2 linked regions of the Macaca mulatta genome follow. The protein of the gene in region 2 purifies or fractionates together with the protein of the main gene of each other region. This does not show direct contact. Links are inferred from orthologs where the notes say so. Each region holds a gene or a part of one and is shown on either strand. Other genes may lie near its edges.

Evidence for each region.
Region 1: the proteins of NGFR (region 2) and NDN purify together in Homo sapiens (affinity purification with western blotting; 3 studies listed by BioGRID). This does not show direct contact. The link is inferred for Macaca mulatta from reciprocal best matches to the Homo sapiens genes NGFR and NDN.

Annotation. Positions count from the first base shown.
Region 1 is NC_133412.1:6,257,036-6,273,652, reverse strand, and holds NDN (necdin), read right to left. Parts: upstream 7,853-16,617; 5' UTR 7,739-7,852; coding exon 6,773-7,738; 3' UTR 5,932-6,772; downstream 1-5,931. UniProt on the Homo sapiens protein: Growth suppressor that facilitates the entry of the cell into cell cycle arrest.
Region 2 is NC_133421.1:60,492,141-60,508,503, forward strand, and holds the end of NGFR (tumor necrosis factor receptor superfamily member 16), read right to left. Parts: intron 12,754-16,363; coding exon 12,394-12,753; intron 8,378-12,393; coding exon 8,125-8,377; intron 6,859-8,124; coding exon 6,698-6,858; intron 6,038-6,697; coding exon 5,736-6,037; 3' UTR 3,733-5,735; downstream 1-3,732. UniProt on the Homo sapiens protein: Low affinity receptor which can bind to NGF, BDNF, NTF3, and NTF4. Forms a heterodimeric receptor with SORCS2 that binds the precursor forms of NGF, BDNF and NTF3 with high affinity, and has much lower affinity for mature NGF and BDNF.

The sequences.
Region 1 (16,617 bases), on a different chromosome or scaffold from region 2:
TATATGTATGTATATATATTATACACACATATGTGCATATTTGTGTATATATATTATACACACATATGTGCATATATATTATACACATATATGTGTATATACACCTGTAATTTACATACACATACATACATGTGTGTATATATGAGAAAATATATACACACTATATATACATACTATATATACATACTAGATATACATACTAGATATACATACTATATATATATATGTTCTTTCTGCCTGGATTTATCTTGATCTCCCCTTTGATCTTTGCTAACTCTCTTGTTATCCTTCAATTAATTATCAGCTTAAATTTCCCCTTTTCAGAAAATTATTTCTTGGGCTTCCTGCCCTAGTTTGTCTTCTCAACCATTCTCTATCAATTTAACCAAGTCATTTATTTAAATGAAACTTTTTTTGTAGAGATGAGAGGTCTTGCTATGTTGCCCAGGTTGGGCTTGAACTCCTAGCCTCAAACAATTCTTACATGTTGGCCTCCTAAAGTGTTAGGATTACAGGTGTGAGCCACTGTGCCTGGCCCATTTTTTTCATGTATCTTATCCAATCATATAATTTGTATTTGAAGTTTCGTTTGTACCTTTTTGTTGTGCTCTATCAATGCAAAGTTTATAAATAGGCCAAGCGTGGTGGCTCACGCCTGTAATCCCAGCACTTTGGTAGGCCCAGGCGGGCGGATCACGAGGTCAGGAGATCGAGACCATCCTGGCTAACACGGTGAAACCCTATCTCTACTAAAAATACAAAAAATTTAGCTGGGCATGGTGGTGGGCACCTGTGGTCCCAGCTACTCAGGAGACTGAGGCAGGAGAATGGCATGAACCCAGGAGGCAGAGCTTGCAGTGAGCCAAAATGGCACCACTGCATTCCAGCCTGGGTAACAGAGTGAGACTCCCTCTCAAAAAAAAAAAAAAAAGGTTTATAAATAAACTACTTGAGGCCAAGAGCCATCTTGTTTAATTCACCAAATTGTACCAGTCCCTAGCACAAGTCAGCCATATCGTTGAAGTTCAAGAAATCTCTATTGAATAAATACATAAACAAAATAATTTATACAGCAAACAGGAATCTGTAAGATTTTTTAGTATAAAGTTGGTGGGCTAATAGAACAGACATGAAACTGTTTAGATATGGGAAAATATGTAATATAGTTAAGAGCTCCAAACCCTGAGTAGCTGAACCAAAGAATAATTGGACAAATAAAGAGATAAGGAGGGATGTTTTAGACCCCTCAAAGCAGACAACAACAGCAGCAATAAAAAAACAAAGGTGTCTGTTCAAAAGAAGGCTATGCTTCAGCATGGCTTCTTCTAAATCTGTTAGCCTTTCATGCGATTCATATCAGCCCTCTTCTTTGTCACATCTTTGAGGAAATTGACTGTGTCTTCAGCCAGCATGCGTTTTTTTTTTTTTTTTTTTTTTTTTTTTTTTTTTTTTTTACCTAGCCTCTAGTCAATTCTGAAATTTATTTCCCTTCTCCTTTTTACTCTATTTATTTTGAGAAACTCGTTGTGCAGCCCCATATGCTTGTGTGTGTGGTCACACAGCAGAGCCCAAGACACAAAGAGAGCCTCCTCCCGACTTCACCCCTCCGCACACCGCTTTCACGTTGTTAATTGCTTCTCATCCTATTGAATCAATTTATGCCTCACCTCTCTAGGGCAGTCTGAGTCGTGTGCACCTGTTTGTGCCTCTTTAGGCCCCACACTTCTCCTAGGATGGCACTCACTGCACTGAAGTGTAATTATTTTTATTCACCTGCTTCTTTCAATTCAGTGAATGCTCAGCAAGCACAGGACAATGTCTATTCTGTTCACTCTTGCATCCCTACCTCCTAGCCCTGCATCTGCAGCATATTAGGCACTCAGTACGCACTCTGAATGAATGCATAAAATAGCGTGTAGTAATTTATACAACTATAGCAGGGTCCAAGGATGCCAATTTCAATTCACTCTTGCTAGTACAGGATATTCATTTTTATTATATATTTGATCAATTCATATAGACAAAGTATCTTTACTTAATTAGTGAGATTGTATTTGTTTTTCATTTTGTGTTTACTATTAAGGCACTGACCTCTCTGTGTCCTTGGCCCATTTATCTAGTAATAAGTTGTTTCTTTTTTGCTTTTTTAAAAAATATATACTTTATAGGACAAATGTGCACAACGTGCAGGTTTGTTACATAGGCATACATGTGCAATGTTGGTTTGCTGCACCTATCAACTCATCATTTACATTAGGTATTTCTCCTAATGCTATCCCGCCCCTACCCCCACCCGCCACAGGCCTCAGTGTGTGATGTTCCCCACCCTGTGTCCATGTGTTCTTGTTCTTCAACTCCCACCTGTGAGTGAGAACATGCGGTGTTTGGTTTTCTGTCCTTGTGATAGTTTGCTTAGAATGATGGCTTCTGGCCAGGTGCGGTGGCTCACGCCTGTAAACCCAGCAATTTGGGAGGCTGAGGCGGGCAGATCACGAGGTCAGGAGATCGAGACCATCCTGGCTAACACGGTGAAACCCCGTCTCTACTAAAAATACAAAAAACTAGCCAGGCATGGTGGCTGGCACCTGTTGTCCCAGCTACTCAGGAGGCTGAGGCAGGAGAATGGCGTGAACCTGGGAGGCGGAGCTTGCAATGAGCCGAGACTGTGCCACTGCACTCCAGCCTGGGCGAGAGAATGAGACTCTGCCAAAAAAAAAAAAAAGTAAAGCAGAGGTAATGTAGATAGGTATAAATTAGCTAAAGAAAAAAAAAAGAAGGCAGAAAAACAATGGAGGCAAAAACTTGTTTCAAAAATCATTGCTACAAACACTCTAACAAAATAATCCAGTACCTAGTAGTTTTTCTAAAAAAAAAAGTGATCCACTCATCTCGGCCTCCCAAAGTGGTGAGATTACAGACATGAGCCACTGCGCGCCTATCCTACATTACCTCTACTTTATTATTATTATTATTATTATTATTATTATTATTATTTTTATTTTTATTTTTTGAGATGGAGTCGTCCTCCATCTCATTTATTTTTTGAGATGGGGTTGTCTCGCTCTGTCGTCCAGGCTGGAGTGCAGTGGTGCGATCTCGGCTCACTGCAAGCTCCACCTCCTGGGCTCACACCATTCTCCTGCCTCAGCCTCCCGAGTAGCTGGGACTACAGGTTCCAGCCACCACGCCTGGCTAATTTTTTTGTATTTTTAGTAGAGACGGGGTTTCACCGTGTTAGCCAGGATGGTCTCATCTCCTGACCTCATGATCCACCTGCCTCGGCCTCTCAAAGTGCTGGGTTTACAGGCGTGAACCACCGCGCCCTTTATATTGGCTAATTGTTGTCGGCCACATATGGTTTTGTTTTCTCATGTGGATGGGTAGGTCTTTTCGAATATTTTGAGTTACTTCACTTATATAACAAATATTTATCAAATGCATCCATTATGGCCCATCCTTACATCAAGTATCAAGGAAACAATGAACAGGATACAGACAACTCTAACCCTTAAGTATGTAACAATCCAGGAGGAGAGAAATAAAAGGCACATAATTATAACCAGTATGTGTATTTTGAGTGCATTGAGAACATGGCTGTGCTTAGAGGTTAGGGAGAGCGTTCTCCCAGTAAGTAGTGTTCATGAGTTGGTCAGGTAAGACTCAAGTTGGAGAAGGACCTAAAAGGGTTTTCAAGCACAGGAAATATTTAACTGCATAAGAATTTCACTTAAAACATTTCTATTTAATAATGATACTGCTTACAGTTATTTATTTCCTCTCAGGACAGCTTATACTAGGTGTCTTTATATTTTATATTAAATTTGCAAAGATCCCTTTTCCCTTCATGTCTTTCATAAAATGAAATTAACAAATTGAAATATGTTTGCAGGTGTTTGTGAAGAAATGAGGTTCTAGCTGGCAGGTAGAAGTTCACATGTTATGGGGAGTTAGGAGAGCCTCTCCCACCCACAGCAGTCTGGGCTTCAGCACACTGTCATGTTGGACTGCAACACTGAGGACCTGCTGACCCCTTCCCCACTGACCCATCCCCGGACCTTGTAGGTGAATCTTTTGGTAAATGTTTGACCAACTCTCCAGTCTTTCCATGTAGAGCCCAGCATGAAAATCCAAGGGAGCTGCTGGGTGCTCCCTCCCCGTGCCCAAAGCTGCTATCTCTGCAGGATCAGGTGTCATGAAGTAAACTCATTTTACATCTGGAAGCCTCTTTCTCTAGGTCTGGCTGCCTCCTAGGCAGCATCGGGGAAGAGTCGCTCTGCCCCATGCCTTACTCCTTTCTCACATTCTGACATTCTGTTTCTCCTGTAAAGGCTAGGTCTTCTATGGCCTGGCTAGGGTGCTTGTGTGAATGAACTTGGGACAGCTTTGGAAAGGGTGGTTCTCCGTGCCTCTCACAGCAGAGAGGGAAAGTGGACACAAAACAAGGAGTTAAATGGGGATGTAAAGGGACTGTTTGCCTAGTGATTTCTGGGCTTGACTGCAAGAAGTCCACAGGGGTTACAGCTCCTGCAAGGCATCAATCCAGCAGTGAGGGGAGTATTAAGGCATTAGAGAAAATGACCAGCACTGTGTGTGGCAGGAACAACAGCCCATAGTCCTACTCCAGAAACGAAACATCCTGGATATCCCCACAATTTTAAATGATAAGGGGCAGATTTATTTTGATTCTGGAGAAACTTTTTGATGGGTTGTGGGGAGGTAAGATTTCTAAACAATCCTAACACTTTTGAAGAGGTGAGACGTTCACATTGGTTTTGTGTAAGAGGTGCCATCAAAGCCAGGTCACTCCTGCCTGGGTGATTGCAGAAATGTCCCCCTTTCCCCACAGAACCCCCTTGAAAGACTTCACCAGAAGCTTTTAAACTGGGATGGATTTCATCTCAGCACGAACAGGGGCTTCAGCATTTCCAGCACCCGCCCCCACCTGTTAAGTAATGCCAGTAAGTGTTGGGAATTCCAGCTCCCAATCCAAATTATAATTCCCTCACCCTAATAGGACTCCCAGTTTACTTCTTTGAGGTGTTATGTGACACGTGTCCTCTTCATTATTAGTCTTCCACAGAAAAGTTTCTGGCTTTGGCCAAATGGTCTTTCCCACTCTTTTGTAGTTTAAAGGACTTCTGTTCTTATTAAAGCCCCTTTTGTCCCCCTTACCCCTTGCAGGACTAAAAATTCACAATGAGATTTTCCTTCAGGCATTGCCCCTAAAGCCCACTTGCAGCCCATCCCATCCTCTGAGGATTACCTAGTGGCTCACCGCAACTCAAGGGCTGCGAGGCCCGAGACATCCTGATGGGCAACCCACCTCCCTCTCTTAGGTGTCTTGTGTGTTTGTCAGAGAAAGCACCTTCACCTCCAACCCTCAGGAAAGATTGTTTCCAATCCCAGCTTCACTGCTCAACAGGAATATCACTTTATTAGGTTAATTAATCTCTCCAAAAGTAAGTTTCTTAATTTGCAGAATCAGAATGATATTGCTTTCTCCAAAATATCCTAAGAATTAGAAAAATAAAATTCCTAGCCTTTTTGTATGTGTGGCCCATGAACCCATGTGAGTGTGGGCTCCCACATGAAATTTCAATATAAAGTTAAAAATAAATAACCTAAAAACCACAGGGTGTAGGGGAGTTGAAGGCAGGTGGGGACAAATGTGGACTCTGGATTCATTGTGAGTTCTAGTCCTAGCGCCTTCTCTTATTAACCTGTATGAGCTATGGAAAGTCCATTACCTACATTATTCCTGTGTTTCCTCCATGGTGCAGAGGCAGTTCTTGCCTGCCTGACAGGCCTGTTGTGAGGATTAGATAAAAGGAGAAAAATACACGTCAGGGCTCATGTACAATGTCTCACTCTTTAAGTGCCCACAAAGCATCTATTAATTTTGATAAAATGTAGAAACTTAAGGGAAGGAAATTATTTTTGGTTTTTATTCCCATAGGATGTGATTATGGACAATCTTACTGTTTTGTTTTTTATGCTTTTCTATATTTGTGCATGTTTTTGAAATAAACATGAGTTAAAGACAAAACTACAAACTTCACAAATTTAGGAGTAATCATGAGTAGCGATTTTTCCCACCCCATTAGGGGAAATAGTTATATCTGTGTATACTGTAAAACAGAGAATTGTCTCATTCCCAACCATACTGCTTTGTTAAAATGATAACGTACACTTCCAGAAATGATTGTATCACAAGAATCTTTAATGTTTACTTTAAAGTTGACTCACGGTGGGGTTGTATATGTGTTTAGTAAAGTGTGCCAAGTGCTCTCACATTGAGACCAGTCCAGTTCAAATTAGTTTACTCCACGAGGATGTTTTCAGTCCCCAGCAAGGTCATGAGGGCCTTGACATTTCTTGGTTAGGCCGGCTTTGCTGGTGAGTTTTTCCAAACTCTGCAGGAGCAGTCTACCCCAACACACATCTCAGTCCCATGTAAATTAATAAGATGGAAACGTTCTCAATGTACTTCATCAGTTTAGCACGTCTCTGATACAAAAATCCAAGAAAGGTACCACAAAAGCGAAAGCACCAACCAAGCTTACATATAAACAAACATGCATACATCCTAAATACTACACAATAGTACCCAAATGAACACAACATTGCATTAAAGGTATAAAAGCACTGTACTGAAAACGTAAAAGTTACACGTGAATACTGCACTGTAAATCCTGAACACTCTAATGACCCACCCCCACCCTTCCACAGCCCTGGTGAGGATCAGAAAGCATTCATCTGCCTCCAGACTTGGCTAGTCCTCGGAGACACTGCTGCGAGGGCAGTGGGCAGCGGGATTAGCCTCCCGCAGAGCTCTGGCCTCCTCCAGAGCCTCTCTGTATCGGGAGGGCCAGGCCTGGGGGTCTTTCTTAAAGACCCTGGCCAGGAACTCCATGATTTGCAGCTTGGTGATTTCGCGGCTGGCCCGGGAGCCCCAGAAGAACTCGTACTCGGGCGGCTCCACGTACGGGACGCGCTGGTACTTCAGGTAATTCTGCTGGACGAACTCCTCAGTGATGAGCTTCCGCACGTCCCCGAAGGTGGAGTGCTTCTTCCAGGGCCGCAGCCCCAGGATGCGGAGCACGTTCCAGACCGCGCTCTCTCTGGCGCCGCGGCCCTTCACGTAGATGAGGCTCAGGATCATGAGGAGGAGACCTGTCATGGGCATGCGGTTGCTCAGCGCCACCCTGTCCAGCTCCTCGGGCTCCAGCGCTTTGACCAGCGCAAACTCCATGGTGTGCAGGCTGGTTAGCCTCAGGTGCAGCCCGAACACCCGGGCGAGGATGAGGCTGGTGCGCCGGAGGATGCTCCTGCACCACTTCTTGTAGCTGCCGATGACATCTTTCACCATGTCTGGAAACCAGATGATCATCTTCTTCTGGTCCTTGACCAGCACGTACCACATGAGCTCGTGCGCCTTCTGCACCAGCTGCGCCGGGGCTGGCGGGGCCGGGCCGGGCTGGGCCGCGCTCGGGGCCTGGTGGGCGCGGCCCTCCTCCGCGGCCTGCTGCAGGGCCTTCGGGTCGTCCTCGTCGCTCGGGGCCTGGGGAGGCTGCGCGGCCTGCGGGGCGGCCGTCGGGCCTAAAGGAGGGCTCTGCGGCTCTGCCAGGGTCTCGGACGGAGGAACCCCCTCCGGAACCCCAGGGCTGCTGTGCACCTCGGAGCTGGGGGCCTCGGCTGCAAAGTTAGGGTCGCTTAGATCCTTACTTTGTTCTGACATATCTGCGCCGTCTGGCAAGGGCAGGGCCTCTGCGTCCAGGAGCTCTTCAAGCCTGCGCTCCCTCCGCGGATTCCTGGAGAGGAAGTGCGCGTTGCTGTGCGCGGCGCCTTCCGCAGCGGCGGGCAGGGCGGGGCGGCGGCGGGACGCGGCACTGCGCCTGCGCGACTGCGGCCTTGGCCAGCGGCTGGGGGCGGGCGGGGCAGCGCGGAGCCCCGACGGGGAGGGTCCCTGGCTAAGCTTCACCTGCGGAGAGAGCGATCCCGGGGTTTCCCGTTTGGGCTGAGGGGATCTAGGGCAGGAGAAGAGTGCGATGGATGCGTACTGGAGAAGGGGCCAGTTTAGGAGAAAGATGATAACTTAAGTTTTTGGGATGTTGGGGTCAAGTTTCTTGGGAAACGCTTACCTGATATATCCAGAATTAAGTTAAATATGAGCGTCCCAGAGAAAGGTCTGGGCGGCTGTGTAAACTTGAGCTTTATGCGAACGAGTGAGAGGAACAGTCGGGCTTGTCCAAGAAAATGTGTAAAGTGTATGTCTGAAGTTGGAATCCTGAGAAATTCCAATAAAAAAATGATTGACTCCCTCCCTACCAAATCAGAGGGGTTGTAAGAAAAGGAGAAATGCAGCGTGTCCTTAACGTAATTTCCTGTCAACCCATGTGAACTATGAACCTTTTAAGTAGGCAGCGGACTTAGAGCATCATTAATGCTTTAGTGGGCATAAATTTGAGTTTTACATTTCCTTTGGGTCACTTTGATTCCATTTTATTTTTTTCCATACTTAGTCCACAGCAGAAGGATTGCTATATCTTTTAGCACAAACTTGTATAATAATGTCTTTTTCCCTCTGCCCAGCACCCTTATTCTCCGATTCACCTTCTCCCAGGACCCTCTCTGAAGCTACTGAGTCCTCCACGTTGGAAGCCACACCCAAGTCCTTCCTGAGATTTAAAAAAAAACAACTAGGTCTCATAGGTAATATCTGGTAGTGTCTCTGAGATGACCCAAGGGTAGCAGGGGCAACATGGGTAACCCTGTTTTCTAAGTATAGAAGACAGATTCCCACTGGGCAAAGACAAAACTCGCTCCTACAGGGTCTCCCTGAAAAAAGGGTCATTGGTGGAGCCTCTGAAACCAAGGGCCTTGATGCTGCTTCAGCATCCTTGGTCTGGGCTGATGTGGTCCTTCAGCGCTTCCAGCGTTTCTTCTCATCAGTAGCTTCTTAAATATGTTGAGTCTAATTATTGCCACTCGAAGCCAAAAGCACATTTAAAAATTGTCTTAACATGTCTAGAGTCCTCGCTGTGAGTATGTATCTTTTCCCACTTGTCACTTTATTTTTCCTCAAGCAGGTTGATGTTGAAGGGTTTTCTGTGCTCTCTCTCTTTGGGTTTGCATGCACATAACACTTTTGGCAGAGCCATTCCCACACCAGTCCTTCCAACAGGCTCTTTAGCTTCCCACTTCACCAGGGTAATTCCTAGATATCAGTCTTAGTTGGAATTATTTCAACACTTTTCTCCTTCTCCTCTTCCTCCTCCACCTCGTCCTTCTTCTCTCCGTCTACTTCTCCTTCTCCTTCCTCTATTTATGGATATTTACCACTTTCTTGGGAGCATCTTACAGAAATATGCTAATTCATTGTTTTGTAATCCCAGCACTTTGGGAGGCCGAGACGGGCCGATCACAAGGTCAGGAGATCGAGACCATCCTGGCAAACACGGTGAAACCCCGTCTCTACTAAATAGTACAAAAAAACTAGCTGGGCGAGGTGGCGGGTGCCTGTAGTCCTAGCTACTCGGGAGGCTGAGGCAGGAGAATGGCATAAACCCGGGAGGCGGAGCTTGCAGTGAGCTGAGATCCGGCCACTGCACTCCAGCCTGGGCGACAGAGCGAGACTCCGTCTCAAAAAAAAAAAAAAAAAAAAAAAAAATGTCTCTTGAACAGACTTATTGCCCCCATGCTTCTTAAATATAATCCTCATTTATTGCATTTAAATCTCCATCAATATTCTTCTTTATTTTATTTGGGTATGTATTATTTTCTAACTATTTAAATAAAATATTTAGGCCAGGTGCGGTGGCTCACGCCTGTAATCCCAGGACTTTGGGAAAGCGAGGCGGGCAGATCGCCTGAAGTCAGGAGGTCGAGACCAGCCTGGACAACATGGCAAAACCCTGTCTCTACTAAAAATACAAAAATTAGCCGGGTGTGATGACAGATGCCCTTAATCCCAGCTACTTGGGAGGCTGAGGCAGGAGACTCACTTGAACCTGGGAGGTGGAATTTGCAGTCAGCTGAGAGCATGCCACTGCACTCCAGCCGGGGCAACAGAGCAAGACTGTCTCAAAAATTAAATACATAAAGAAAAAAATATTTAGTTCGTTTGACATTTTTTTAATAATAAAAGTGTTTGAACCTACTATTTAAATCTCAACTTAGCTTTGGCCGTAGGCTATGGTTTTTAACATTGTGATCTCATTCAAACTACATTCTCACATTTCACCCTCCGAGATGTAATGGATTCTTGAAACTAAAGTACAAGCTTTAGGGCATGACAACAATAAAAGGTGGCTCTGCTGAAGTGAGTGTCAGTGCTTTGGCCAGAGAGCTGCTTGGATTTCAGTTGCTGCCTGGGCAGGACTGGATAATGGAGCTTCTACCTGGACTTCGTTCTAGTGAAGTTGCCAGCATCAACAGACTGTGCAGAAAGGCTCTCCCGCGGCACACAACACACTGCGCTTCTGGCAGAAGGGTTGTCCAGTGCTGTACCTGGGCCTGTCGATGGAGACCACCCTGAGAGATTACACTCGGAAGGCTTAAAGCCTTGGGTGTGATGCATGAGTCTAAAACGAAGCACAGGCTAGATCTTGGAGCCCAACTGTACATCTACTAAAATGGTATCATCTTCCTCCTGAGGAATGAAGAGGTTCAATCCCCGCCCCCCCGCCAAAATCAAATTAATGGGAGTAGGAGTTTGGGTAGGTGGGGTAGTGGAACAAAATAAAGCCTGGGATAGCCTGTAAGTGGGGAAAGCAGGCATGCACATGTGCAATGAGATAGATGGGTCAGTAGCTTGATGGCTTCCTAATAAAGTATGTGCCCATGAGCCAGAGATTCTGACCTTCAGAGTAATAACAGAAAGGACCAAAGACACTGTGAGAAATGAGAGGAAGCTAGTACTTGGGAGGCATCCACAACTACCTTGACCCAAGGCTCAAGACCTGGGGCGGAGCTCTAATGCTGTCCTGAGGGTCATGGGATAAATACATCTTGCTGGGTGTCTCCAGGGGAACCCCTATTTGAGATGGGCAATAAGTCCTCTCAGGGCCAGCAGCTTAGCGGAAAAGTGTGAAGACTACAAAAATATATCTCAACTACTCATTAAATCAAAATTCTGTAAATAGAAGTTCTGTGAATAGATACAGAATATATATGGAGAAGCTGTAACTTAAAATATTCTGGAGCAGACAGTTTTGCTGGTGGGTTACTTCGAACTCTGTAATGTGGAACAGATTACACAGCTGTGGAATAGGCTGTTCTTGGCAGACCCAGGAACAGGAGGAGAGGCCAGTCCCAGCCTTGGTTTCCATAGTGAACAGAGAAAGGGGGGTTACCCCAGAGCCTCTAGTGGGCAGTGCGCATGCTCGCAGTGCAGGGACCCAGAGGCCCTGGATGAAATGTGAATCTTCTGGCTCTTCCCTGTCCACATACGCAGCAGCCTCCACCTTGGAGCCCCTAAACGGGCCCCAAATGCCTTTCAGGCCAAGGATCTTAAGCAGAGAATTCACTTTAATGTGTTCAGTAAATATTGAGCAATACCTGTCATGTGCCTGAAATATTTGCATTTCAGAAAAGTAGCTCAGTCTGAGGGAAAAACCCATTGCAGCTGGGCCCCTGTTTTTGTTAGAAAACATTAAGAAGTGAGGACAGGCAGTGCTGCTTTACAAACTTGGGAGGGACCGGCCCCTGGCCTCTCATCCCCAGCCTCCCTAGGGGGCCACTGCTCATGCTCATCCATTCGCGGTCCATCGCATTCCCTGAAATGGGAGACCTTTCAGTCCTGCCCAGCCCCAAGGAGCAGCTCTCTCAGATAGTTAAAGAGACTAGGGTGTCTTCTGAAAGGTCACCTGCGTACAGAGTAAGGTTAGAGTTTGGGTCAGCTGGACAAGCAGAGGCAGAGAGTCCTTAGGGGCCCCTTCCCAGGAATCCATGTGATGGGCGATGGCTTGCATTTCATCTTCATTCGTCAACTGTTTACCAACATTACATTACATGTCAGGCCTTGTGCCTGGGGATACAACGAGAAGAGACATGGTCTCTGTAATCTGTAGTGAGGCGAAGTGGTGGAGATAAAGAGCCTTAAAAGAGAAAGCAAATGCCTGATCAGATAATCATATGTCATGATGCATATCGTGAAGGAACAGCAATATTATCACCGAGAGGGGGACAGAGGGAGCTGAGGTTCAATAGAAAGGCCAGTGAAGATATAAGTAGCAATGGAAGGTGAGGGGAGACTGTGAGTAACGGGCACATCCAGGATTCTGTCTCCGGCAGCCAATCGAGCAGGACTGCAGCTAGGAAATGCAGGTGCTGTTTCCTGAAACCATGTGGAGAGAAGGACCAAAAGATTCTGGGAAGACTGAACGGTCATACCCAGCAGATATCTGGAGTGACACAACTCAGCAAAAACGCCTGTGCTGGAAAGAGAAGTTTGGAAGTTAAAGAAGATAAATCACATCACCCTGAGAGTGTCTAGAGCAGGGCTCTTTGATGATATGAGGATGGCGTAATGTTTCATTGTCTGAGAACATAGCACACACCACAGAGGCTGTCTCCCTTCACATGCACACATACATGCCCTCCAGACATGAGAAAACCAACAGGAAAGTGGAGAAAAGAGAAAAGACACCATCCCCACACACCACCAAAAGTCCTTTTATGGGCAGTGCAGTCCCCAGTTGAGAACCACAGAAAATAACAAGCAGAGAGGAGTGAGGAGAGACAGGCGTAGCAATAGGCCAAGGTGATTTAAGCCTCTTTCCAGACTCTCCTATGACCATCCCAGTTGGAGCTATTTCTGGTACATATTAAAATCACTTGCCTCATCTTAAACACTCTTCTCTAAGATAAACTCTATTCAAGTGGATGTTGGGTTCCAGTTTGTGCTGTATTACTCCTTTTACATGTCAGTGGATTTAATTTGGTAATATTTAGCTGAGGGTTTTTATTTATATGCTCACCAGAGATATTGGTCTATAGTTTTCTCTTTCTGCGATATCTGTATCTGGTTTTGACTTGAGAGCCTCATGAAAATACTGGTCCCTCCTTCTCTTCAGCTTTATGGAATAAATTGTGTAGAATTGTCTTTATTTCTTCTTCAAATGTTTGGTAGACATTTTCAGTGAAACCATCAGTGCCTGAATGATGGTTTCAGATGGTTTGTAACTATTTGTTTTAATTGTAAGCCTATTCAGATGATCTTTTCATAATGGATGGATTTTGGTATTTGTGGTCTTAGGGAGTTGGCTCATGTATTAGTCCATTCTCGAATTACTATAAAGAGCTACCTGAGACTGGGGAATTTCTAAAGAAAAGTGGTTTAATTGGATCATGGTTCTGCAAGCTGTACAGGAAACATGACTGAGGAGGCCTCAGGGAACTTATAATCATGGTGGAAGGCAAAGGGGAAGAAAGCACATCTTACATAACCAGAGCAGGAGGAGGAAAGCCAAGAAGAAGGTGCCACACACATCTGAACAGCCAGATCTCGTGAGAACTCACTCACTATCATGAGAACAGCAAGGGGGAAGTACCCCCCCAACCCAGGACCCAATCACCTCCCACCAAGCCCCTCCTGCAACATGGGGGATCACAATTCGACGTGAGATTTGGGCAGGAACACAAATGCAAACCGTGTCTGGCCATTTAATCTAATTTGTCAAATTTATGTGTGTCGTGATGTTTGCAGTTTTTCATGTTATCCTTTTAATGATAGATTTATCTACCAAGCAGCCTTGGGTTTCTTAACTATATTGGGAACACACACGTGCAAATACATACCACACACACACACACACACACAAACGCACACGCACCACCCATGCCATGGCTGTTCTTCCAGATAGCCCTGAGTCCTCAGGGTACACCATAGACTTCAGGGATCGCTGAGAACTCTCTTCGCCTTTTCAGATCTTTTAAAATATCTTTCTCCAGCCATTATCTAAAAGTTGAAGTTTCTAGTGGTCCTGTCTCACCTCTTCTGTTCCTGTCACCTTGTGTTCTGAGCAACACCATCTCCCAGAGCTTGAATTTTACATCTATACACAAATGAGTCCAAAATTCATTTCTCCAGACTAAGATGTCTCTTTTTTTTTTTTTTTTTGAGGCGGAGTCTCGCTCTGTCGCCCAGGCTGGAGTGCAGTGGCCGGATCTCGGCTCACTGCAAGCTCCGCCTCCCGGATTTACGCCATTCTCCTGCCTCAGCCTCCGGAGTAGCTGGGACTACAGGCGCCCGCCACCTCGCCCGGCTAGTTTTTTGTATTTTTTTTAGTAGAGACGGGGTTTCACCGTGTTAGCCAGGATGGTCTCGATCTCCTGACCTCGTGATCCGCCCATCTCGGCCTCCCAAAGTGATGGGATTACAGGCTTGAGCCACCGCGCCCGGCCAGATGTCTCTTTCATGTTCTATAACTGGATATCCAGCTGCCTAAAGGTCATCTTAACATTGTGCCTTTGAGGTTTTTTTTGTTTTTGTTTTTTTTTTTTTTGAGATGGAGTCTCGCTCTGTCGCCCAGGCTGGAGTGCAGTGGCCGGATCTCAGCTCACTGCAAGCTCCGCCTCCCGGGTTCACACCATTCTCCTGCCTCAGCCTCCCGAGTAGCTGGGACTACAGGCGCCCGCCACCACGCCCGGCTAGTTTTTTGTATTTTTTTAGTAGAGACGGGGTTTCACCATGTTAGCCAGGATGGTCTCGATCTCCTGACCTAGTGATCCGCCGGTCTCGGCCTCCCAAAGTGCTGGGATTATAGGCTTGAGCCACCGCGCCCGGCCAAGTTTTATTTTATTTTATTTTATTTTTTGAGACAGAGTCTCACTCTGGTTGCCCAGACTTTAGCGCAGTGGTGTAATCTCAGCTCACTGCAGCCTCAACTCCCCAGGCTCAGGTTATTTTCCCACCTCAGCCTCCTGAGTAGCAGGACTACAGGTGTGTGCCACCGCACTTGGCTAAATTTTCGTAATTTTAGAGATGGGTTTTTGCCATGTTTGCCAGGCTTGTCTTGAACTCCTGGGCCCAAGTAATCCACCTGTCTCAGACTCCTAAATTGCTGGGATTACAGGCATGAGCCACCATGCCCAGCCTGAGTTATAAATTCAACATTTTACTCTACTTCCTCAGTATCTGCCTGAAACCTTCTGCTGCCAGTGTGTTCCCTGCCTCACAGTACATGGCATAGCTGTCCACCCAGGGTCTCGAGGAAGAAAAAGGATGCCATTGATTCTCTTGTATCCTTCATATCTAGGTAATCACATAATTCTCACCTTCTATAAGCCATTCACTGCCATCCATGACTATATTCCACTCACTGTCATCCATGACTGTATTCCACTGCTCTTTCACCCTTGGTTCACCACTGAGGACATCCTCTGTGCCTTCTCACTAGTTTATTCACTTGCAGTTTATTTTGCACACTGAAAACAGTACGTTTTCTGAAATTAAAACATTTCTTCCTTATTTGTCTCCTAAGGCTGCCATAAAAAATCACCACAAATTGGGTGGCATAAAATAACAGAAGTTTATTCTCTTGTAGATTTGGCAGCTGGAAGTTTTAAATCAAGGTGTTGGTTTGGCCATGCTCCTACCAAAGGCTTTAAGGGATAATCTGTTCCTGCCCTTCCTGCCTTCTAGAGACTTTTGGCGTTCCTTGGCTGGTAGCAAAATAACTCCAATCTCTACCCATCTTCACAAATGGCATAGAGTACTGTGGGATTTCTAAGCAACCACAGGGTCTTTCACATTCAGAGTCAATGAGGCTGGCAAAGACTGCTAAATAAGGTCCAATTCTAGCGTTTCTCCTAACTTCCTGGTTACTGGTAGACCACAGTCATATTGATCCACAATAGGTTGGTCTCAAGAGGAAGGATGTTTGCTGTTTCAATATTGTTAAGTTCAGGTGGCTATATTCTGGAGTCTCATGAAAAATAGCCTCAAATCCCACTTATCCATTGAAAAGTCAGGAACGTGCATTTAGGTACCAGCTTTTGGAATATGGAAGGCTCTTAGGTTCATTAAGATGGGATCCCATCATTCCCAGTTGCATCAGACTTCTTAGTTGCTTCCACCTGCTCATGTTGTCAGAGGTTAATTTTTATAATTACATAAAATTATGTGAAATGATTTTTATAATCATGGCCTTATATGCCCCCCTGTTATTACTAATGTGTCAATTAGGGAAATAACTGAGCTCCATTCTGCTTTAGGTTTATTGTGTCACCTTCTACTTCGTTGAATTATGGTCCAACTGGGTGTGCCATAATTCAAATATTGCAGTAATTACACAATTTAGTGCAGATCCTACAAGCTGAAGTGTGTGACCCCCAACAAGCAACAAGATTGTTCTTCTTCTTCTTTTTTTTTTTTTTTTTTGGAGATGGAGACTTGCTCTGTCCCCCAGGTTGAAGTGCAGTGGCATGATGTCAGCTCACTGCAAGCTTCACCTCCCGGGTTCACGCCATTCTTCTGCCTCAGCCTCCCGAGTAGCTGGGACTACAGGTGCCTGCCACCATGCCCAGCTAACTTTTTGTATTTTTAGTAGAGATGGGGTTTCACCGTGTTAGCCAGGATGGTCTCGATCTCCTGACCACATGATCTGCCCACCT
Region 2 (16,363 bases):
ATGGCTACAACAAGACAGTGAGTCTTGAGGACTCCCTGTGCTCTGTGCTCCCGCCCTCCAGGGCCTTTGCTGAGCTGGGTCCTCTGCCAGAACCACTCCCCTCCCCGGGTTTGTTAACTTCACTCATCCTTGAGCACTCAGCTTCCACACAGCCTCCAAGGCCACATTAAGATTGGTAAGCAGGCTGGGTGCAGTGGCTCACGCCTGTAATCCCAGCATTTTGGGAGGCCAAGATGGGAGAATTGCTTGAGGCCAGGAGTTTGAGACCAGCCTGATCAACATAGGGAGACCCTATCTCTTTAAAAAAAAAAAAAAGGTTGATAAGCTGAAAGCTGGTGAAGCATTTTAGCTGCTGAGAGGGAATCAGGGAAGGAAGAATGGAAGGAGACAAAAAGGGTTTCTATACAATGTGATGGGGGGATGTGCTGCAGAGGGAATCTTGGGTGCCATGTTGTATTAGTTCATTTTTACACTGCTATAAAAAACTACCTGACACTGGGTAATTTATAAAGAAAAAGGTTTATTATTTATTTATTTATTTATTTTGAGGCAGAGTCTTGCTCTGTCACTCAGACTGGAGTGCAATGGTGCAATCTCAGCTCACTGCAATCTCCACCTCCCAGGTTCAAGTGATTCTCTCACCTCAGCCTCCTGAGTAGCTGGGATTACAGGCACGTGCCACCATGCCTGGCTATTTTTAGTGGAGACGGGGTTTCACCATGTCAGCCAGGCTGGCCCTGGCCTCCCAAAGTGCTGGGATTACAGGCGTGAGCCACCATGCCCAGCCCACACACTTTTAAACCATCAGATTTTGTGAGAACTCACTCATTATCACAGGAACAGCTTGGGGGAACCACCCCCACGATCCAATCACTCCCCACCAGGTCCCTTCCTCGACACGCGGGATTGCAATTCGAGATGAGATTTGGGTGGGGACACAGAGCCAAACCACATCAAACGTCTTTATGGTTTTTAGCCCTCCTGTTCCTACGAGCCCCTGGACGGTGTCAGTCACTTCCCTGCCCACCACTGCATGCCCCTTGCTCTGAGGAGCTCTTTATTTTTATTTATTTATTTATTTATTTATTTGAGACGGAGTCTCGCTGTGTCTCCCAGGCTGGAGTGCAGTGGCGTGATCTTGGCTCACTGCAAGCTCCGCCTCCCGGGTTCACGCCATTCTCCCGCCTCAGCCTCCCAAGTAGCTGAGACTACAGGCGCCCGCCACCACGCCCGGCTAGTTTTTTGTATTTTTTTTAGTAGAGACGGGGTTTCACCATGTTAGCCAGGATAGTCTCGATCTCCTGACCTCGTGATCCACCCGCCTCGGCCTCCCAAAGTGCTGGGATTACAGGCTTGAGCCACCGCGCCCGGCCTGAGGAGCTCTTTAAAAGCCCCTCTTCTCACCACCCCTATGCTTCCTCCTTGACTTCAGGCCACCACTGACTCCCACCTCTCAGCCCACCCTGCTCCACCCAGCACCCTCCGCTCTGCAGCTAGAGCTAGTGCTTTCTGAGTACAAGTCTGGGCTGGGTGTGGTGGCTCACACCTGTAATCCCAGTACTTTGGGAGGCCAAGGCAGGAGGATGGCTTGAGCTCAGGAGTTCAAAAGCAGCCGAGGCAACATGGCGAAACCCCATCTGCACGAAACATACAAAGTAATTAGCCGGGTGTGGTGGCGTGTGCCTGTTGTCCCAGCTACTCTGGAAGCTGAGGTGGGAGCATCACTTGAGCCAGGGAAGTTGAGGCTGCAGTAAGCTGAGATTACACTGCTGCACTCCAGCCTGGGTGACAGAGCAAGACTCTGTCTCAAATTTTAAAAAATAAAAAATAATCAATAAGAAAGTACAAGTCTGTCTATGGCACTTCTATACTGAAAACACCCCAGTGGCTCCCCAGTGTTCCAAGAATATAGTCTGGACCGCCTAGTGTGTCTCTTCACAAGCTCTCCCCCATGGGGCCCCACTGATTACCTTCCTACTCACTCTCTGGGCTCCAGGCCCCAGAGCCTCTCCAGGCCCTGTGTGTTTTGTGCTGGTGCCCGCCAGGGCCTTTGCTGAGCCGGTTCTTCTGCCAGAAGCACTCTCCCCCTGACCCCTCATGTTAACTCCACTCATCCTTTTTTTTTTTTTTTTTTTTTAAAGACAGAGACTGGCTCTGTCTCCCAGGCCAGAGTGCAGTGGCGCGATCTAGGCTTACTGCAAGCTCTGCCTCCTAGGTTCACGTCATTCTCCTGCCTCAGCCTCCCGAGTAGCTGAGACTACAGGTGCCCACCACCACGCCTGGCTAATTTTTTGTATTTTTGGTAGAGACAGGGTTTCACCATGTTAGCCAGGATGGTCTCGATCTCCTGACCTCGTGATCCGCCCGTCTCGGCCTCCCAAAGTGCTGGGATTACAGGCATGAGCCACCGCGCCTGGCCAACTCCACTCATCCTTAAAGACTCAGCTTCCTATACCTTATCTGGCAAACCTTCCCTGACCCCTGGTATGGGTGGGTCTTGCTTAGGATCCCCCACTGTTATAGCAGTACACACCACATAGGGCCTGTCTGCTCTAGCTCGCTCAAGAATGTAAGGCTGGTGAAGGCAGGGATTTGAGTTCTCCTTATTTCACAGGACAGCATCTGGTTTTCCCCCACCAGACAAGAGACTGGGCAGAGTGGAAAGCCACTCTTAGGTCAAAGAGTATATTTCCCCATCAGCATGGGGGCACCCTTAGGACAGGAGGTGTGCCTCCTTCATCAGGTTAGAATATCCTCAATTCTGGGACTGTCTCCTTCATCAGATGGGAGCCTCGCTCAAGACAGAGATTGTCTTTTCCATCACACTGATTTTCCAAGTACCAGGATTATTTCTCTTACCTACTCTGAATTCCTCCCGCAACACCTTCCATCTTCCTTTCGCCCCTCACAGTCTGGGGGCGCAGGAGGGGAATGGAAGACAGGGGACCTCCCCTCCAACCTTGTCTGACTCTGACTGGGCCTGGCTGGCCCTTCTCCCTGGATCTGGAGGTCAGGCGGACTTGTTTGCTGTTTTTACTGAAGAGCAAGCCTCCCTTTGTCTTCCTCAGTGACCACAAGCCAGTCTTGGACTCGGCCAAACCACCAGCAGGGGCTGAGGCTGAGCCTCAGAGACAGGCACAGGCCTGGGGCCAGGAGCCCTGCAGCCGTGGGAGCTCCCAGGCCTGGGCCAGGCGGGGCTCGAAGCCAGGCTGTCAGGAGCCTGGGTTAGGACCTGCCCATGAGAGCTACAAGGGAGGGGGCCTGCCTGCCTAACTCCAGGCCAGGCCTGCCTAATGCCTCCTGCCAGGCCATCTGGAGCCAGATCTCTCTCTCTCTCTCTCTGTGGTGTGTGTGTGTGTGTCTCCCAAGCCATGTGGGTGGCTGGGAGCTGTGGGGTTGTGACCTGGCCCTCCTGGGAAGCCTCTGACTCACCCGTGGTCAGTTTCACTTCTGACATCTGGTCAAGTTCACAGCTGGCCAGCTTCCTGCATGGCCATTTTCACTTTCCCTCTCCAAGATCTGGGAGCAAAGAGCCCCTTCTCCTTCCCCAACCCACCCCACCCCATAGTGACACATGGGAACTTACTGGCTTTCTGTTAAAACTTCCCCTTTTGGTGTGGGGTAAAAGAGGGCAGGAATTGACCGAATTGGAAATTATACCTGGGTCCCTGGCACACACCCCACCCCAAACAATTCAAACCATGTGTATTTCCAGAAAATCTCTTTGTACTATTTTTCTTTCTTTGCTATTTAATGTTCATCACTTATGTTTTATGTGTAAGTTTCAGGAGGACCCAAGAAATGATTACACAGGAGGCAAGGAGGGGAGATGACAGGAGGGATGCTGGGGGTCTGGAGCTCGTGGCCCCCAGTTGGGGGGCCAAAAGGGTTCCATCTCAGCCCAAGGGGAGTAAAAAGGGGCCCCAGAACCAAACACATGCTAAAACATACTTGCCAGCCCCCAAAGCCCCTCCCCACGTGCTGGGGAGGAAAATAAATACACTCAGACTCTGTCCCACTCCCCAGGTGCCCAGGTGAGGGGCCAGCAGGTGAGTTTCCTCCCCTCATCACAGATTGAGGTCAAAGAATTGCCATTTACTACAATGCTCCTAGTCCCTTCCACAGGGCTGGGGGAACCCTGGGCTGGGGAGGGGTGGCTGTCAGCGCACAGCCTGCCTGGGGCTTGTCATGCTAAATAGAGGAGAGCCACACTCATTCCAACATCAGGCAAAACAGAACAGGCCAGGGAGGGGGTTGAAAGTCCACTGAGGCCTCATGGCCCCCTTCTGGCCAAGCTCAGGAAAAAACAGTCCTTTGCAGGCTTGTCTAGAGCTGGGAGAAATCCCCACGGGTCACAGTCGTTGCTTCTTGCCGCATTCCCACACTGGCCCGCTTTTCTTCATGACAATCTTGTGGGCCCAGCCAACCCCATACTTGCAAGGAAGGGGAGGATGGGGGAGCATTCCTCCACGTGTAAGCCCTTGAAGACAGACGCCAGCTCCAGCCTCAGCAGTCCTTGGCCCGCCAAACCCGGGGGCGAGTGAAGACGGCTGAGCAGACCTCAATTCCCTCCGATGCTTCTCTGGCAGCTGCCCCGGGCAGGATCCGGTCTCAGCCCAGGAGAAAGAACTCATGGAGAAAAGTGAGATTTCTCCTCCTGTGTGTATGTGTGTGCGCGTGCGTGTGTGCATGTGTCTGTGTGTTGCAAGGTGAGGGGTTCTTGGTCCCTGACCCCTAGGCTGATTCTAGGGGCCAGTGTTAGCTCCGGGTCTGTGCCTGCCGGATGGAGGGCAGCAGACTGGAGCCATGCCACAGTTGTCACACGGGCATGCTTGACAGGGACAGGCAGAGGGAAGCAGCACCCTTTCCACAAACCCCAAACCTGACTCCATCATGGACCAGGCCCTGGGCAAGCATCCCATCTCCACGGGTGGGCGGGCAGTGGGGAAGGGGTGGGGGTCTGGAGACAGTGGAAGGCAAAGCTGACTTGGCTTCAAGCCATTTCTCAGAAAGTCACCTGCCACCCTCCCCTCGCCCTCAGGCAAACCTGAGGCCCCTCATTTAGAGAAGACGGTGCCGGCCTGCACTTGGCCTCCCCATTGCTGTGCAGCTTTGGGCGAGTCACGGCCTCTCTCTGGGCCTCATTGACATATATGCAAAATGAGGGGAGTGGGCTGAGCTTCAAAACCCCCTCCCAGCTCTGACAGGCCTCTGATCCTCTTCATCTTAGGCTGGGGTGGGGGGCGAGAGGGGCTGAGGGAGGGTTGAGGCCACTGGGATGCTACCCTTGCTCCCCAAGTTCACAGTGTAGAGTCCATGGCTCTGGTTCCTCGATTCTTCCCTCTGAGTCTCTGGGGCCTTGTCACTTCCCCCAGTACCATCCCTGGTGTCGGTCCCCCAGATATGACACCTGCTGTGGTGGGAGGGGCTGGCCCACCTTGCAGTGTGGGAGGAGGGGGCAGGTGGCCTGAGATGGTGACGGGGCAGGGGCAGGGTGGGGGAGGCAGCAGGGGCACTTCTCTCTCTGGACAGGGAGTGTGGTCAGAAGTGAAGGGGCCACACGGGCTGCACCGACAGGGCTGTGGTTTTGGGGCCTGGACTCTGAGGTCCTGCCCAGAGGAGCTCAGTTCTGCCAGGTGGGCCCCCCACAAAGGGTGGGGGTGCGGGCTCCACAGGGGTTGGCTGGAGCATCGGTCGTCGGAATGTGGGGCGGGGCGGGGACTCCCTGGTTGGGCTCACACCGGGGACGTGGCAGTGGACTCACTGCACAGACTCTCCACGAGGTCGGCTCGCTGGATGCGGCGCAGGGCGGCCAGGAGGGCGTCCAGTGTGGCGCTGTCCTGGGTGGCCCAGCTTGCAAGCAGGGCACGAACGGGGCAGGCCTCGTGGGTAAAGGAGTCTATGTGCTCGGGCTGGTAGCCCAGCTCGCCCGCCAGGTGCCGCCAGGTGTCCCCCGCAGACCCGTTGAGAAGCTTCTCCACCTCCTCCCGCTTGGCTGGGGGCAGGCTGCTGTAGAGGCCTCCATCACCCTTGAGGGCTGCAGAGAACCCAGAGGAGAGTCAGGTCCTACCCCTGCACTCCTTTCCCCAACAGTGGGTGCTGGGATAAGACCCAAGGTGGGCGGTGGCAGTGCTCCTCCCCATCGAGAGGCCTAGGGCCAAGCCAAGGTCCTGGGTGGGACACCAGGAAGTGAAGGCACCTGGGGGGACTCGTTGTCCCTTCCTCCTGTCACTCCAGCCCAATCCCTACCCCCATCCCTCCTCTCCTCCCCCCCAGCAATTAATCATGGCAAAGGAGGAGACAGGGCTTCTCAGTTCCAGACATCTACAGCAAGTGTCCCGGAGCTGGGCTATGGGCCACTAATTAGGGTACACACTTAACTACTTGTTCCCCAGAAGTCCAGGGCAGGAGGCTAATTGCAGCTACTTTGGGCAGTAATTAGCCCCCAGGGGGGACAATTAGCTTGATGAGTCTGGATGCTCCAACTTGTAAAAGCCTCCATTTCCCAAGTCCTTTCCCTGGAGAGGGCCTCTCCTTCCCATTCCCCTCAGCCAGCCTCTCCATCCATCTACAGGGGCACTGCTGAGCCAGCCCTGCCTCCCCCTCCTCCCACAGTCCTTCCTGGAGTCTAATCTTAACCGCTTCTGTTTCCTCAGCCTCAGCTCCGACTCAGCTCCTCAGCGGGGCCCCTGCTCACCCTGGCCCGAGGCCGTCTGCGTGTGGGACTGCTGGTCATGCAGGCTCTGGCTGTCCACGGAGATGCCACTGTCACTATGGAGTTTTTCTCCCTCTGGTGGGGGCGTCTGGTTCACTGGCCGGCTGTTGGCTCCTTGCTTGTTCTGCTTGCAGCTGTTCCACCTGGAGCCAGAGGACAGGCCAGGTCTCAGGGGGCGGGGGCCGTAGCGGCGGATGCAGCTGAGGTATCTGTGCTCTGCCGTGCGAGGGCCAGGGGCATGGCGGGTGCCCAACTGTAACCGCCACCCCAGCATCTAAGGCTCCTCTTTGCACATCTGCCCCCCACCTACCCTGAAAGCTCCATGAGGGGCCCTCTGTAAGTGTTCAGTAAATGTTCCTGGAATGAGCAGTGCAGCAATAAGTGACTGCTCAGGAACTCCTCTTCTCCCAATCTACCCTTCTAAAATACTCCCACATGTGGGCAGTGATACATACAAGGATTTCCTCTGCAATTATAAGCAATAACAAAAACCTGGAAAAAAAAAACAAATGTCCATCAATAGGGGACTGGCTAAATAAATTACCATCCATCCATACTATTGAATGAGTGGTTACAAATGATCAGCTAATCTACATTCCTGAGGAAAGGTCTCCTGAGGGAGACTGAGTGAAAAAAGTAAGCTACAGAATATGTACAATGTGATCTCACTGATGCCTAAAAAGCCCTCCATGTTTACATGTAATTATAAAAGGTTTATATACATGTTTATAAAAAACACACACAGAAAATAGTTGGGAAGGATCCATTTCAAACAGATTCCAATAAGGAGAGGAGTAGGATTTGGGAAGATAAAAGGGGGCTTTTACTTTTGCTTTGAAAGATATTGGTCTTGTTTGCATTTTCTTAAACATGCATGTGTTACTTTGATGATTTTTTTTTTTTTTTTTTAGAAAGAATGGAAAATGCATTTAAAGCTTTAAAACGCCTTCTGGGAGTTCGTGCACATCCTGAATTCCTGGATGTGGGTGCCACAGCATTCCCAGTGTGACAAGGGAAGGGGAAGAGACGTATGCACACGCAGGTGGCTGTGGGGTGAAGGAGGTTGGGGGATGAAGACACAAGCAGTTGGGGGCTAGGGAATCAGGGAGTGGTACGGCATGGGAGTGGGAGGGGCTGGAGCCAGAACAGGGCAGGAGAGGACAGGACAGGACAGGGGGGATCCTCTCCCCTCACCTCCTGCTGACCTGCTGCACCCTGGAGTGGGGCAGTGGATGATGAGTGAGGAGGAGCTTGGTTTGGGGTTGAGTTAAAAGGGTATGTGTACAAGAAAAAGTTTTCCAACTGAAAAAAAAAAAAAAGGGTGTGTGTGTTTTCAGGTCAAGGTCACAGTAAAGTCTTCCTTGAGGGCAAACATCTCCCCTCTCTGTTGCCACTGTGCCCTCTCTTACCTCTTGAAGGCTATGTAGGCCACAAGGCCCACCACCACAGCAGCCAGGATGGAGCAATAGACGGGGATGAGGTTGTCGGTGGTGCCTCGGGTTACCACGGGCTGGGAGCTGCCCATCACTGTGGTCACCACATCTGCCACCGTGCTGGCTATGAGGTCTTGTTCTGGAGGTGCCTCAGGCTCCTGGGTGCTGGTGGCTGTGCTGTCAGAGCCTTCGGGGGGTGTGGACCTTGTAATCCAACGGCCAGGGATCTCTGGGAGAAAAGGCCACAGGAGTGAGGACCCACTTCCCCCGCCCCTCCCTTTTAGCTGTAACCCACTGCAGTGTTCTTCCTGTGTCCCCGCCCTGGTTCCGGGTGCTCTTGTGCCCAGCTGTTATGCACAGTGTGGGGGCTGGGATTGTGTGCATGATGTCATGACGCTAAAGAGCAAGGCCTGTGGGCCCACAGAGCTGCATCTCCTTCAGCTTTGCCACTGACTTGCTGGGTGACTCTGGCCCAGCCGCTTTTTCTCTCAGAACCTCGATTTTCTTATCTATCTAATGGGGCTATTAAGAGAGACGGTCTCTAAGCTCCCTTCCATCTGGGGCTATGGTCCTGGAATTCTATTCCACCTCCCAGGGTACCTAGAGAGGCCTGTCTGGGAGCAAACACACAAAGCCTGACCACAGGGAGGCCTCGAGCTGGAATCACTCCAGGAAATGTCTCTCTGGCCCCAGCTTGTCCTAGATGACCCCAGTCACCCCCGTCCTAAGGAAAGAAGAGTGTACACAGGTCTGGTCAGAGAGGTGCTTTCCCCACACCACCTCCTTGAGAGCATTCCCTAACTTCTTGACCTCATGTCCTGGGCTCTAGGCTTGGGTGGAGAGGAGTGGTGCGGGGGCAGCTGGATTGCCTCCCTCCAGCCAGCCCTGGGACAGTGGCCAGCCTCTGTTTCCTGCCTTGTCTGGCTCCCACCTAGCCTGATCCTGCCACCCAGAGACGACAGCGTCAGGTAGCCCCAGCCCTCCTTGGTCAGGAAGCAGAGAGCCAGTGGAGAGGGGGCCCATGAGGCAGGTCCAGCCCAATGCCTCAGCCCCAGGGGAGACTGTGACTTGCCACCCACCGAGACCCTCTCATGCTAGCTGGGCATTGCCAGCCTCCCTGGCAGGGGACCCAGCCCTTCCTGGCACCAGTGGGTGGGATTTTCCATTCTGCCACATAGCTAGGGGCAGTGCTAGTGGTTGTGGGCTCTGGACGGCCTGGGGATACTTGTCTGGGCAAAGTTGCCTACCCCGTCCCTCCTCGCTTCCCACACCTGGGGCAGGGAGCGAAAGCAGAACAGGACATGCCAATGGGGTGAAGGGGAGGGTACCTTGCCCCCAGCTCTGCCCACTCTGGTTCCTCGATTCCTCCTTCTGAGTCTCTGGGGCCTTGTCACTTCCCCCTAGTACCATCCCTGGTGTCAGCCCCCCAGATATGACATCCGCTGTGGTGGGAGGGGCTGGCCCACCTAGCAGTGTGGGAGAAGGGGTCAGGCGGCCTGAGATGGTGACGGGGCAGGGTCAGGGTCAGGGAGGCAGCAGGGGCACTTCTCTCTGGACAGGGAGTGTGGTCAGAAGTGAAGGGGCCACACGGGTTGCACCGACAGGACTGTGGTTTTGGGGTCTGTACTCCCAAGCACGAGTGGAAGCTGCCACCCATCTTCTGGCCTCTTACACTCAAGATGAAAATGCTTCAAAGGCCCATTTTCAGCACCTTCTGAGGGGCAAAGCCCCCAGATGTGAATCTAGAATCCATCTGGCTGCCAGCGGTGAGGGGCTGTGATCTGTCACCCATCCCACCCTTCCCCGTCTCAGTCCTGGGAGGGGCCAGAGGGAGTGAAGGAGACGGAGCCCTGTCTTCTGGCAGCCCCAGGTGGAGCGTTGGACTGGGGAGTGTCTTCTCTTGCTCTACCAGGGGACTGGGCAGGCTGGGGGGCAGCCAAAGTCCGGAGGTTGGAGACACAGCTCAGCTCAGACTGACCCCAAGCCAGAGGCTGAAAGAGTATGCATGTCTGTGTGCCCGTGAATGAGACCATCACTGAGATCAGAGCACAGTAGTGGAGGGCTGGGAGGGTAGCAAGGCATGGCCAGACCAGAGGCGGCGCTGACTCTCGGGGAGCTTCCCTCATCTCTCCAAACCCCTCTGATGAGGGCAGGAGGATGAGATCCAGATGTGGCCATGTCCACTAGCATTCCCCCGTACTAAGCCCTTGGCAGGTCCTGACAGCCATTTCCGGGCTGGATGGAGGGACAAGATTACCCCTAAGCAAAACGAATTTCACTGGGGCAGTGGGGAGCCCTTCTGCCCTAAGGGTGGGTGAGTCACCATGTTGACACCTGAAACTTATATGCAGGGGGGAAAGTATGGTAAGCTGGAGGGGAGGGGGCACCCAAACCAAGAATCAAATTCCATTTCCTGAAATGGTCCCTCGTTCCAGAGCTGACATTTAACCCTTCAGAGCCTGAAGCTGAAAGGGGAACAAGGTCCAGGATGAACACATTCCCTCAGGAGCACCCTCCTCCTTTGGGGTGGCTGGGAAAGTGGGCTGGGATCTGAGAGGAATCTGTGAATGCCCCAAACCACAAAGCCTGCTCCTCCCGCAGCCACCACCTTTCTTTGCTCTGCAGCGCCCCTAAGTCCCCCCAACCCCGCCCGCAGCTGGCTGGTCTGGACTTGTCCACAGAAATGTGCTGCCCGCTTCCCTGACGCCTGGCTGCTGAAACCCTCCCTGCGCTCTGCCTGGTGCCTGATGCCACTTGCCTGTCTCCTGGCCCAGGGCAATTGCCACCAGAACTACCACATCCTACTCCTACTCCTCATTCCTTCTCCAAGGCAGGCAGCTTTGAGTTCAACCTGGCCTTAGCCCAACAGCCCTCCCCATCCTGAGCTCCTAAAGCCAAAGATCACAGGACTTGGAAGGCAGGTGTGGGATGTTGGAGCCCCTATCAGACTGGAGGGTCCCCAGGGGCAGGAGATCAGGTGCTGACTGAGGCAGAAGCTCTGCTGCCTCCATCAGAATGGGGGATTTCTAAAGTGAGGGCTGTCTCTCCTTCAGCTGGGGACTAAGTGCTGGGACCACGTCTCTCTCATTAGACTGGGCGAAGGCTATCTCTCCCATCGAACTGGGGGCTCACTGAAGGAGGTGCTGTATTGCCTGCTCAGGGTAAAAGCAACCTGAGGATGAAGGTTAGGTCTTAAAGGGAAATAGCTCAATGTGTGCATGGCCACAGGAGGATAAGCAGGATGTAAAGGCGCTGCCAGCCTCTCCCTGAAGTGGAAAAGCCCACCCGTCTCCCGAGACGGACGTCACCAACCAGAGACCAAAACAGCTCTGCCCTGGCTCCCATGGGGCTTCCTCCTCCCATCCCTGGAATCACCCCATCTCCTTTGGGCCTGTGCCTAGCTAAGGGCACACTCAGCTCCCATTCACCCCTGGAACTGACAGCCACGAGCATGCACTCCCTTGTCCCCGGGCTTTTGAGCCCCAGGTCTGCCCCCCCTTCTTCCACAGAGCCCCTCCTTGGTGTTCCCTGCACGCCCCTCATCCTTCACTAAACTGCAAAACACGGTTGACCCCTCCCCTAGACAGGGCAAGCTGAAGTGGGCCAGCCCCACTGTGCTCCCTAACCTGCAACAACCCTGGCAACCATATGACCAGTGAGGAAACTGTGGCCCAGAGACAGGAGTGGACTCCCTAATGTCAGATAAGGACAGGGTGGGTTCCATCTCAGGTCCCAGAGCCAAAACCCACCATGGACCTAGACCAGGGCTCAGAGTCAAAGGGTCCCAGCTCCTGAGGGTCCTCCAGCTGTTCTTCCAGTTCAGAAAGCCTGCCTCATGGATCAGACCCCTCGTGTTCTGTGCTGTGCCCTGGGGGTAGTGGCCACCTTCGAGCTGCTTGCTGTTCATCTAATCACTAGCGGGCAGTCACAGAGAAATGAGTCCCCGAGGATGAGTTACATGTAGTACCCGCGGCCTGGGACAATGAGAACCCCCCACTTTCCAAACACTTAGCCAAAAGAAGGAAACAGTGAGAGGGGTTCTCTGGTGAGACAGGATCGGGAACGACGTCCTCCCTCAGGTTACCAGGAAGGGACTGAAGCTCAGGGAAGGTGCACGCTGCCTTAAGGTCACAAAGCTGCCCCAGCAGGCCAGGCGGGGTCTTTGTCGACCTCCAGAGGGAGCCCTTCCTTATGCCCCCAGCCCACCCCCGCACCCCCTACTGCCGGCTCCCTAACAGCGCTCACCCTCGCACTCGGCGTCGGCCCAGCGTGTGCACTCGCGCAGCTGGCGCTCGGTGTCCTCGCACACGGTGCAGGGCAGGCACGGGTCCACGTGGTTGGCCTCATCTGAATACGTGCCGTCGGGGCACTCCTCGCACACGGTGTTCTGCTTGTCCTGGCACGAGAATACGAGGCCCGAGCCCGCCTCGCACACGCGGCACGCCTCGCAGCGCCCGGTCGTCTCGTCCTGGTAGTAGCCGTAGGCACAGCGGCACACGGCGTCGTCGGCCTCCACGCACGGCGCCGACATGCTCTGAAGCCCCACGCACTCAGTGCACGGCTTGCACGGCTCCGTCGCGCTCACCACGTCGGAGAACGTCACACCTGAGCGCAGCGGACACCAGATTTAGTCGTCTGCTCTTTGGGCACCCGGGACGCAGGAGCCTGGAGTCTCTCCCTCACCCACTGCCTGCCAGGACGCTGACTTCCTCCTTCAGCTTCGCCTTCTCATCGACTCCCACCCTCTTCCAGGGGACTTTGACCCCTAGCCTGGTGAAAGTTGGTGGCAGCCAATTGGGTAAGGGGAAGGAGGCCCGGAGCCGCTTCCTTCAGCCTCCAGAAGCACTGGCCGGCCAGGAGGGTTTCCCGGATAACCCAGCTGGTGCCAGTAAGTTTCTTGGCAAATTCTCTTTGAGACTTCCCAGGCCTGTAGGGTGTTCCAGCATGATTAACGAATAATCTGAACGTGGTTCCCACCCAGCCCTCCCCGCGGGCCAAAACTGGGCTGCTAACCCAGTCCAGGCAAGGTAGGCCTTCCCCTAGGGAGCCTCCTGCCTCATCTGCCTTCAGTTCCTCTTCACACAGGTGTGGGCTCAGATGCACCCTGAATGAGAGTGACCGGGGTTAGACAGCAGAATTTCCCACCCGTGGCGCTACCCCCACGCTGCTGAAGGGCTTGGCTCCTGAGGGTGGGGACGGACCAGCAGGCAAGAGGGTTCAGGTAAGGCAGGAGCCACTGAAGCTAGAGAGCTGGCTCTTAGCCCACACTGAGTCTCTCAGATGGATATTGTTGAGCAGTACACAAGCTGCACAACTGTATATGATCACCCCTTTGAGATCTGCACATGCGTCCTCTGCCCTTTCAGCCAGCATGCAAGGGAAATGTCCAAGCTCATTCTTCACTCATGTTTTCTTAATTAGTGGATGTGCACTCCAGAATAAGGAGAAGGAGGCCAGACATGCCAGGGTCCTTGCCTCCTTGTACAGGGAGGGGAAGGAGCAGGGCCAGATCTTCTTCACCCCTTCCAGCCTTGGGTGGAGAACTCTGTGCCAACCTGGATCTGGCAGAACCTATCCTTGCTCCAAGGACAGAAAGAACATAGATTTAGGAACCTGAGAACTAGGGAAGGACAGATTGTTCAGAATGTGGAAGCAGAAGCAGAAAGGCTAAAGCACCATTGGGGTAAACTGAGGCCTGTTGGGGGGTGGGGTCTTAACATTATTCAAAGGTGTCAGAGACAAGATGGAGCAAGGGGTCACTGGCTTGGGGGCTGTGGTGGGGGGATAGGGAGGCAAAGAAGGAAAAGCCAGAGAGAAGTGAAAGGGGCAGAATTGCGGACAGAGCCTGGGCGTGGTGGCTCACTCCTGTAATCCCAGTACTTTGGGAGGCCAAGGCAGGCAGATCACTTGAGGCCAGGAGTTCAAGACCAGCCTGGCCAACATGGCAAAACCCCATCTCTACAAAAACTACAAAAATTAGCTGGGTGTGGTGGTGCACACCTGTAATCCCAGCTACTCGGGAAGCTGAGGTGGGAGGATTGCTTGAGCTTGGGAGGCAGAGGTTACAGTGAGCCAAGATTGCACTAGTGCACTCTAGCCTGGGTGACAGAGTGAGGCACTGTCTAAAAAAAGAAAGAAAAAAGAAGAAGAAGAAAATAGAAAAGGGTAGAGGAGAGAAGGAAAGACCCAGGAAGAAGGGCCTGGAGGGAGACTTCAGTTTCAAGTCAGTTCTGACAGAGGAACCCTGTATCCCTTTTCCTAGGAGCAGGCAGATCTGGATTCAAAATCTACTTCCATCGCTTATCAGCTGTGTGACTTCGGGTGTTTTACTTAACGTCTCTGAGCTTTTTCTTTCTCTGTAAAAATAAGGAGCAATATCTGCAGTCACAGGGTTGTGGTGAGGAATAAATGAAATTCAGCCATAAAGTCTTGGCATGTAGTTGGGATCCTATAAAGACTGGGCCCCATGGGGGTTGGGAGCAATAAGAACAGTGAACTTTGGTGGTAGGAATATGGTCAGACAGCAGAAAGAACGTCCAAACACAAACAGCCAAGGCAGGATGTCTGATCTGTACAAACAAGAGGGTCCTGGCTGGCTGGCATGTGACAGAGGGTAAATCTAGTCACACAGGAGGGGAAAAGGAGAACCCTGCTCATGGCAAAACACAGAAAATTAGCAGAAAACTCCTGGGAGAGGGTTTTAGGTGGTGTGAAAAATGTGGTCTTTTTTGGCAGAGAATGAAGGCAGGGGCTTAATAGGTTTCCTTGTGGAAACGTCTTAAGGATAGAGGGAAAGTCCGCTGGGGTCTCCATCCCATAAAGTGGGCTTGTAAAGGCAGCCTGTTAACGCAGCTGGAGGTGGAGGAGGGGGACACAGGGAAGGAGGGGAAAAGGGAAGGGAGGGAGGAAGTGGAAGGGAGGATTCTCAAAGCCACCTCTCTGCCTGCCTCCCTTCCCTTCCAGAGATTCTGGAACTTCCCTCTCCTGGTGTCCTCCACCCCACCTCCTGCTGAAGATCTTTTGACTGAAGGGAAAGGGTTCCCATCATTTAGGTCCTGGGAGGAGAGCCCTGGGCTGGAGTCCAGGAAGCGAGAGAGGGAGATTTGGAGGTTCTGGGATAGCTGATGGTTGGCCACCCCGCCCTGGGATGGAAACCCTGTTAGGCCAGACAGCAAGATGGCAAAGGCATTGGAGGATGTCCCACCTCCACACATATGCCCAGGCATCTCTTGGCTGGGGAATGGAGTTACAGGATCCATAAGCACAGAGAAGGGGAACAGTATGTCTGGGGAACACCAAGAGTTGGGGTTGCCTTAAGGACAGATAGACTCAGGGGGACATCCAGAGAGGTAATACTATGTCCGCAGGTGGATTCAGAGGCCCCAGCTCTATCCCCTTATTCCCAGCCAGATTAAAGAACAATCTGAGTATGGTTCCCTTGAGCCCTCCAGGTGGGCATCAAGTGCCAGGTAGAAGGCAGGTTCTGAGTGGCAGTCATCAGGAAAAGGGCAGGGAGCCCATGGTCCAAAGGCAGCAACTGCGGACTGGGGGCACCCATCAGGGACCAAGACCCCTGACTCAAAACACGAGGGGATTCAGACCCTGGACAAGACTGGGGCTAAGAGGCCCAGACCCACCAGCCCTGGAAGATGAGATTCTCTCCCCTCCTGAAAGAAATCCCAGGCAGGGTTGAGCTCGGTGGCTCACGCCTCTAATCCCAACACTTTGGGAGACTGAGGCAGGTGGATCACTTGAGGCCAGAAGTTTGAGACCAGCCTGGTCCACATGGTAAAACCCCATCTCTACTAAAAATACAAGAATTAACCAGGCATGGTGGCATGCACCTGTAGTCCCACCTACTCAGGAGGCTGAGGCATGAGAATCACTTGAAACCAGAAGGTGGAGGTTGCAGTGAGTCGAGATCATGCCATTGCACTCCCAACCTGGGCAACAGAGCAAGACTCTGCCAGAAAGAAAGAAAGAAAGAGAGAAAGAGAGATAGAGAGAGAGAAAGAGAGAAAGAGAGAGAGAGAGAGAAAGAGAGAAAGAGAGAGGGAGGGAGGGAAGGAAGGAAGAAAGGAAAGAAGGAAGGAAGGAAGAGAAAGAAAGAGAGAAAGAAAGAAAGAAAGGAGGGAGGGAGGGAGGAAGGAAGGAAAGAGAGAGAAAGAAAGAAAAAGAAAGGGAAGGAAGGGAGGGAGGGAGGAAGGAAGGAAGG